Linked DNA regions of Macaca fascicularis. The protein of the gene in region 1 interacts with the protein of each later gene in a pairwise test. Links are inferred from orthologs where the notes say so. Each region holds a gene or a part of one and is shown on either strand. Other genes may lie near its edges. The genes, in order: TFDP1 and E2F6.

Region 1 (3,809 bases):
GTGGGAGGTGGGGAAGGCCAGCTCCAGGGCCCTGATCAGCACTGTCAAGACCCAGGTGCATTGCGCCCACCACAGTTTTACATGCCTCGCCTGGCACCTGGGCCTTGGGTTAAGCACCTCTGAGGGGATTTTTCAAATGCTGCTTTTGCATGAAGTCATCCCTCCATCTGTCTTTTGGCTGTTTAGACACTGTGACGAGGGATACACACATACACATGCACACACACAGGCACATGGATGCAGGCACACACACGCAGGCACGCACACACATGCGTGCACACACACGCAGGCACACACGCAGGCATGCACACACATGCACACACACAGGCACATGGACGCAGGTGCACACACACATGCACACACACACGCACGCATGCATGCATACGCACACACATACACAACCTCGCTCTGGGAACACGGCCCACATTCAACACCTATGAGATGAACTCACACTCAGAATCTTAAAGCAGTCATTTAATTTGCCACACAGGAGCGTAACCCAAGGCAGTATGTTGCTGTTATAAAACTAAATTAGTAAAATAAAAATTACCCTGCCTCCAAAGATATGTATTCTCTTACCTGTAGAATAAGTTCTTGAAGTTGAGACTGTTTCTGTTTTATTCTTTCAAGTCTCCTCTGTCTTTCCACCTTCAAAAACAAACCCCCCATGTAGAGAATCATCACGATTGTTCCATACAGTGCATTTTACAACCCGCATCCTCAGTGTTACCTATGTTTACCTTGAATGTAATCGAAGGGATATGGACAAATCTAGACATAGCAGATGCCACAAAATACAGGTGAGTTTTTCTTCCATTTCTAAACTATACCTTTTCCCCTCTCCTCTCATTTCTTGGATTTAACTATGGTATCTAAAAAGAAAACAAAAATCCCACAAACTAGGATTCACAATTAACCTGTGCTAGAGTTTAACACACTCTAGTGGGTCTGGGCCAACCATGCTCCCTCCCCTGACAGCCGAGACTGAGAAACGCAGGGAGACGTCTGCATGACCGTCTGCCAGCCGTCTGGACACAGAGAGCATAAGGGCATGGAGCCCAGACCCTTCTGAGTGACGGACAACAAACACATCTACACAGACTTGAAGGGAAATCAAGGTTGAAGGGCCACCTCTAAGTTCTGACATTCCTGAGCCGAGTTGGTGGGCAGACCAATCCACTTGATCTCCTTCTTCTCCTTGGAGATGATGTTCATGGCCATCAGCACGTTTAAGGCATCGTAGACGCGCCGTCTTATGTTCTTCTGGTCATAAGCCTGCGGATGACAGGGAGTGGATTTTCCAAATGATCCAAAAAAGCCTGTGGATCCCACCTTAAACTGTAGGCCACGTGCACCGGCTTGAAGGGGCACCCCGCTCACAGAGCTGTCACCCCAACACGTCCTCAGGGAGCACTCCCACCCTACAGATGATGCAGGGCAAGACAGGGCTGTGCGAATCCCAGTGTGTTCCAGGAGGGGAGCTGGGGGCCCTCGGGTGTCGAGCCCAGCTGGCGAGGAGGGCACGTCTGCATTTCTGGGCCGCTGGATGTGCAGAGCCAGCCCACGTGCTCGCTCACTGACGCTGACAGAGCATCATGCCAGCAAATGGACTGGGAAAAATTCTGTCATGCTGTACTTGGAATTTTCTGTATGGTTTTAACTGTTCCCAATATTAAAAGAGTAAAACGTGCCACACCACTTGGTTCCGCTACCCTGGCCTCTCGGCCCCCAGCACACACTTACTGACTCGTTTGGTAAGATGTGGTTGTCGGCAGCACTGAACTCCGCGACCAGCTCGTCCGCCACTTCGTTGTAGGAAGTGGTCCCTTTCCTCTGCACCTTCTCGCAGACCTTCATGGAGAAATGCCGCAGGCCCTTGCCATTCTTCTCTCCTTTCCTGTTGCGCTTCCTTCAAAATACAAAGGAAAAAAGAAGCGACCGTCAGCCCTCCTGAGCATCAGTCTGAATCGAGGAATGCTTTTACCTGAGAGCTCTAATGAGCTGCACAAAAAGGGGCCACATCCCACGGGCGCAGCAGATCCAACACGTGAGCAGGCCAGGACCACCTAGCCCCAGCCCCCAGGCCCAGTGCTCCTGCAGGTCAGAAAGCGAGTGTCTCCCTGGCAGGCTGCACCTCTGTCCTTCCAAGTGTCAGGGAAAACGGGAGGCGTCCCCAGGACCCGAATCAGCATATGGAAGGCCTATCAGTACTCAGCATATGAGAGGCCTATCAGTACACCAAGCACTTCTTTTTTTTTTTTTCTTTTTTGAGATGGAGTCTCGCTCTGTAGTGGGCTGGAGTGCGGTGGCACGATCTTGGCTCACTGCAACCTCCGCCTCCTGGGTTCAAGCGATTCTCCTGCCTCAGCCTCCCAAGTAGCTGGGATTACAGGCGCCCGCCCGCCACCACACCTGGCTAATTTTTTTGTATTTTTAGTAGAGACAGGGTTTCAGCATGTTGGCCAGGATGGTCTCAATCTCTTGACCTCATGATCTGCCGGCCTCGGCCTCCCACAGGGCTGGGATTACAGGTGTGAGCCACAGGCATCACTTTTCTAAAGAGGGCAACCAGAATCAGGAACTATGGGACATTTCAGTGTACATTTGGGAATTTTTAGGACAAATTTCAGCAGGCTATAATTTCATACGGCTTGGGCTGTGATAGCCGCTTGACAACAGGTGCAAACCACTAAGTGTTCTTCACACAGAGGGAAAGCCCAACTCTACACTCTGGTCAGTCCCCACGTGGCGGGAAAGGTCACCTGCGGTCCCAGCTGGTGAAGCTTTGGGCACCGACACAGGTAGGTTTTTGTAGCTTTGCATGTGTGTTTTTTTAAGGAAAGACACAGCTCATCAGATCTTGCTTTAGTGGAAGGAGCCACTCTGGTGGGACCACTCACGGGGGCCGTAACCCCAGGGGCAGTAGAGGCTGCATTCAGGGGCAGTGGGTGAAATCCATCCCGCGTGCTCCCAGCACAGACGATGAAAAGTCTCCAAGGTCCTGTGGCAAGTACAAGGCCAGCTTCTCCCCGTCTTGGCCAAGAGCTGCCAGCCCTTCCAAGAGCACCCACTACACCAGACACAAAGCAGGGTGGGCAGTGCCCAGCCCGACTTCTCCGTGACCGAGGCAGTGCGCCTCGACTGCACACCTGTGCGGGGCACGATGATGGGTGAGTGTGATTCGGAGGCTGACATCAATGCGCATGGGAGCCCCACCGTGCGACTGTGTCACGCACGTGGCCCAGGAGAACGTGGAGGTGCGAACCGCAAGCAATCCTACAACTCTAAGGGTCCGGAGGGAAGTGCTCACCCGGCAGACCAAGGTGAGGAGTCGGAAGGCTGGTTCTGAGAGGCAAAGTGAGTGCTGGGGGTGTGTGGGCTTCCTACCACCAGGGTGTTTGACGCTGCCGGTCTCTGAGGCGTACCAATTACCTATAGTCAAAAAAGACAATTCAGACAGTCAGTCCCCGCCCACACGGCGAGGGTGCCACGCCCACCAACTGTTCGCTATCCACAGCCACTGTGGAATTTTGTTAACCACAGCGAGCAGCCACGACGGGGCAGGAAAAACGTCTGGCGGTGGACGCTTTTGACACGGTGACGGCATCACCACACCTGTTCTGACTGTGGCTCATCTTCCTCCTGTCAGTCACAGGCATCTTCTCCAATTAGACAAAAGCAACAAGAAACTGTGAACAACCCAAGCAAGCAAGAACAGGACAGGGCAGAGCGTGACCCCCAAAGCGCTAACGGTCATTTAACGAAGGGGGCGGCACAGAATTCCACACAGGGCACTTCGGCACGCTTCT
Region 2 (4,450 bases), on another chromosome or scaffold:
CGAGATTTCATCACACTATGGAGAATGGCAAGCATTTTAAAACTGATGAATTATTTCTGGAATTTTCATTTTAATAGTTTGGGGGACCACAGGTTAAATGAAATCAAGAAAAGTGAAACCTCAGATGAGGGGGGACTAATAGGAGTTGGAAACCTAAGTAGGAAGGTCTAGTAGACAGCTGGAAAACCCTGAGGGAGATTTATAGATTTGGGAATTACGATATGGTAACTGAAAATACCAGAAATGTATGTCTAAGATTTCAAGCGATGTATCTGCTGATATTGCATGCAAACTAAGTGGTTTTTCCACAGTGAGCTTAGAGTTTTTATCAAATTCTCAAATATTAAGACGACCAATACAGATGGTACCAATATACAGCTGATCCTCAAACAACACAGGTTTGAACTGTGTGGGTCCACTTAGATGCCAATTTTCTTTACCCCCTGCCACAACTTAGAGAGCAAAACCAACTCCTCCTCTTACTCCTCTTCATCAGCCTACTCAGTGTGAAGACAAGGATGAAGACCTTTACGATCATCTAATTCCCCTGAATGAGTAGGACTTTCTCTTATTTATGATTTTCTTAATAACGTTTTCTTTAGCTACTTTATTATAAGAATACACTAACTAATACATGTAAATACAAAATATGTGTTAATCAACTGTTTACAGTATCAGTAAGGCTTCCAGGAAACAGTAAAGTTTTGGGGGAATCAAAGTTATATTCAGATTTTGAATTTCATGTGATTTGGTGCCCCAAACCCTGAGTCGTTCAAGGATCAAATGTAGACGGTAACATAAGTCATGGGAGGAGAGAATGAACTCCCCTAAGAAGAATGTGTAGAGACAGCAGAAGAGAACCCTGAATATCATCAACATGTGGCCAGCCACGGTGGCTCACACCTGTAATCCCAGCACTTTGGGAAACTGAGGTGAGAGGACAGCTTGAGCCCAGGAGTTCAAGACCAGCCTGGGCCACGCAGGAAGACTTCCATATCTAAAAATAAAAAAATTAGCCAGGCCTTGTGGCATGTGCCTGTGGTCCCAGCTACTAGAGAGGTGGAGGCAGAAGAATCACTTGAGCCTGGGAGGTCAAGGCTGCAGTGAGCCAGGATGTGCCACTGCACTCCAGCCAGGGTGACAGAGTGAGATCCTGTCTCGGGGGAAAAAAAAATGAAGGACTGGGAAGAGGATGAGGACAAGGAGAGCCCAGAGAAGCAGATGGAACATCAATGTCAAGGAAACTCAAGGGAGAGTTTCCAACACAAGTAGTTTTGTGTCAAAACTACAACAGCTGCTGGAATTGACGAGATTGTCGGTGACCCTGGTTAGAATGGTCTCACAAGTGTGCTGAGGATAGGGGTCCCCAGCAGTGGGTTGGCTGATAATGAGACGATCAAGTGGAAAGAGTGAGTGTAAATAACTTTTTCAAGAAGTTTAGCTGTGAAGGGGAAGAGAGACAGTAGATGGCAAGGGATATGGAATTAAGGGAGGGATCTTTTAAGATGGGGATGGATTGAGAATGTGGTTTTAGTAGTCAAGAATTTATCATCTGGAGTTAGACATTTGGAGGTTCAACCCAAGTTTCTCCACTTACTATCTAGCCACAGGCAAGCCGGCATTACATGCATCTCCAGGTCTGTTTTGGCAACCGTAAAACAAGAATAATAGTCTTTTACTATTATAAAACACTGCTGTGAGAAATTAAATGAGACAATAATCACAAACTATTTGGTATGGGGACCAGGCATAATGACTTGGGAAAATGTTTAATTACTACTAGTTATAGGAAGAAAGCAGCAGAGAAATTGAAAATATGGGGAGAGGCCGGGCTCGGTGGCTCACGCCTTGTAATCCCATCACTTTGGGAGGCCGAGGCGGGTGGATCACCTGAGGTCGTCAGGAGTTCGAGACCAGCTTGGCCAACACGGTGAAATCCCGTCTCTACTATAAATACAAAATTAGCTGGGTGTGGTGGCGCATGACTGTGATCCCAGCTACATGGGAGGCTGAAGCAGAAGAATCGCTTGAACCTGGGAGGCGGCGGTTGCAGTGAGCTGAGATCGTGCCATTGCACTCCAGCCTGGGGAACAAGAGTAAAAACTCCATCTCAAAAAAAGAAAAAGAAAATACGGGAGGAATGGAAAAGAACGCATTTGTTAAGGACCTTGAGAACCGGGGAATACAGTATCTGGTCCAGAACAAGAGTAGAAGAAATCAGTCTTTGTGGGAAAGGGAGCCAAATCTCCTAACCATTTTCTCCGTCAAACAGGTGGGGAGATAATTTTATGAATGGGAGCTGTGGCGTGGTAAATATAAAGCGTGGACAAGGTTTTAAACGGCTGCAGTAGAGCAGAAGAGAGAGAAGGTAGAAGAACAAATGATAGGTTGCAGAGATACAGCTAGAGTCCACTGAAGGAGAAAAACATGGCCTTTCCAATGCAAAGTTGAGCAATTTTCTCCAACAGTGCCCTGAAGTTCCGATGTAAAAGTCCAGAAGACTGACACCACGTCTGTGAACAGATGCTGAAAGCAGAAGGCGGGAGAGCGCAGTTTCGCAGCACGTGATGGGCAGCGCCTGGCCCAGGGGGAGCAGACGACCGAGACGACGGCCAGCGGGGTTGGCGGCGGCGCGGGGAGGAGGGGGCCAGCTTTGGGAGACCCCCGCCCGTCCCCCTCCCGTCCCGGAGCTTACCAGCAGTCCCTCCACGTTGATGGGGTCTCGGCACCGACGGCGAACCGTCTCCTCCGCGGGGTCCAGGAGGAGACTGGGCAACTTCCTCGCCGGCCGCTGCTGACTCATGCTGCCCGGCCGGGCGTCCCGCTCCCCTCGCACCCCGCGAGCTCTCCCGCCCTCTCGCGCGCAGCTCGATCACCGCCCCCCACGCGCCGATTTCCAAGGGCCCAGAAACTGACGGATCCGCGGCGTCCTCCAAGGCCCCGCCCGGCTAGGCCGTCCCACCCGCCAGCAAACGCGGCACTGCCTCACGTGCCCGGGAACTCCCGACGAAGACGGGAAAGGAGGAGGTAGACCCGCGGCTCTCAAGTAGCCCGGCCCGCCATTTTTCCGCATGCGCAGTGTACCGCCCCCCTCTGCGCATGCCCGCCGCGGCCGGAGCGCTCCCACGCACCGATCCTCTCCCGGCGGCTGGCGCCCGGGAAACCCGGACCGCGGAATCCACGGAGAGGCTGGCAAAGGAAAAGGAAGAGGTGGAGCCGGATTCCAGAGGAAGGGAACGGGGGTGAGAGAAAACAGGCAGCTGGGAAAACGCAGCGCTCGCCTGGAATTCTCGACGGTGATAACTGAAAGCTCTCAGCCGCAAAGATGTTCATTTATTCCTTTTTTTAATTTTAATTTTTTTTTTTTTTGTCGCCCAGGCTGGAGTGCAGTGGCGTGGTCAGGGCTCACTGCAGCCTCGAATTCTTAGGCTCAAGCGATCCTCCCACCTCAGCCTCCCAAGTAGCTGGGACTACAGGCGCGCGCCACTGCGCCCGGCTAATTTTTAATTTTAATTTTAGTAGAGGCAGAGTCTCAGTATATTGCACCGACTGGTCTTGAACTCTGGGGCTCAAGCCATCCTCCCACCTTGGCCTCCCAAGTGCTGGGATTATAGGCATGAGCTACCACGCCCGGCCTTCATTTATTCCTGAGCTCTGTTAGCACATCTTACAGGCGGGTCAGTGTTGATGCTTAGTAAATGTGAGCAACCAAACCATTGTGGTATCGTTTTACTTCTGCCTGCCTGCCTTCTTTCCTTCCTTCCTGCCTTCCTTCCTTCCTGCCTTCCTTCCTTCCTTCCTTCCTCCCTCCTTCCTGTTTGATGAATGAGTTATCGTGGACCTATAGTGTCAGATATTGGGGTGAGCACAGGCGATACTTACTCATTTGGATATGCCACAGGTTCAACCTCCAATTTCAGTGGGGACAGATAAGTAAACAGAGCATGTTAATTAAGCTGGAGCCAGAGGTGTGTTTTCAAATCCTGGCTCCTACTTATAAACCAGAAGACCTTATTAAGCCAGTTACTTAATCTGCCTGTGCCTCAGTTTCCTTATTTGGAAAATGCGAATAATGACAATACTTACCTGATAAGGTTGTTGTGAGGATTAAATGGATTAATGGATACAGGTTGCTGTGATTAGAACAGAGGCCAGCACATGTTTGAAACAAAAAGGTAACACACCGTGGTGTGTACAGAGTTGGAGGGAAACAACCGGTTAGACTGGGGGTTTCTACACAGCCTGAGGTGGGCGAGGTGAGGCAGGGAGAAATCCCTGAAGAAGCTGGCTCCCCACTAGACTATGATGTCAGAGGTCTCTAATCTTTTTTTTTTCCCCATTACCCAGGCTGGAGGGCAGTGGCATGGTCATAATTCACTGTAGCATCAAACTCCTGGTCTCAAGTGGTCTCCCAGTTAAGACTCCCACGTAGCTAAGAGTACTGGTGCAT

What was found.
Region 2: the proteins of TFDP1 (region 1) and E2F6 interact in binary tests that used the Homo sapiens proteins (3 or more experiments, as listed by UniProt). The link is inferred for Macaca fascicularis from reciprocal best matches to the Homo sapiens genes TFDP1 and E2F6.

The regions. Positions count from the first base shown.
Region 1 is NC_088391.1:104,024,906-104,028,714, reverse strand, and holds part of TFDP1 (transcription factor Dp-1), read right to left. Parts: intron 3,433-3,809; coding exon 3,311-3,432; intron 1,910-3,310; coding exon 1,744-1,909; intron 1,276-1,743; coding exon 1,132-1,275; intron 649-1,131; coding exon 580-648; intron 1-579. UniProt on the Homo sapiens protein: Can stimulate E2F-dependent transcription.
Region 2 is NC_088387.1:110,642,987-110,647,436, reverse strand, and holds the start of E2F6 (transcription factor E2F6), read right to left. Parts: upstream 3,083-4,450; 5' UTR 2,804-3,082; coding exon 2,696-2,803; intron 1-2,695. UniProt on the Homo sapiens protein: Inhibitor of E2F-dependent transcription. Binds DNA cooperatively with DP proteins through the E2 recognition site, 5'-TTTC[CG]CGC-3'. Has a preference for the 5'-TTTCCCGC-3' E2F recognition site.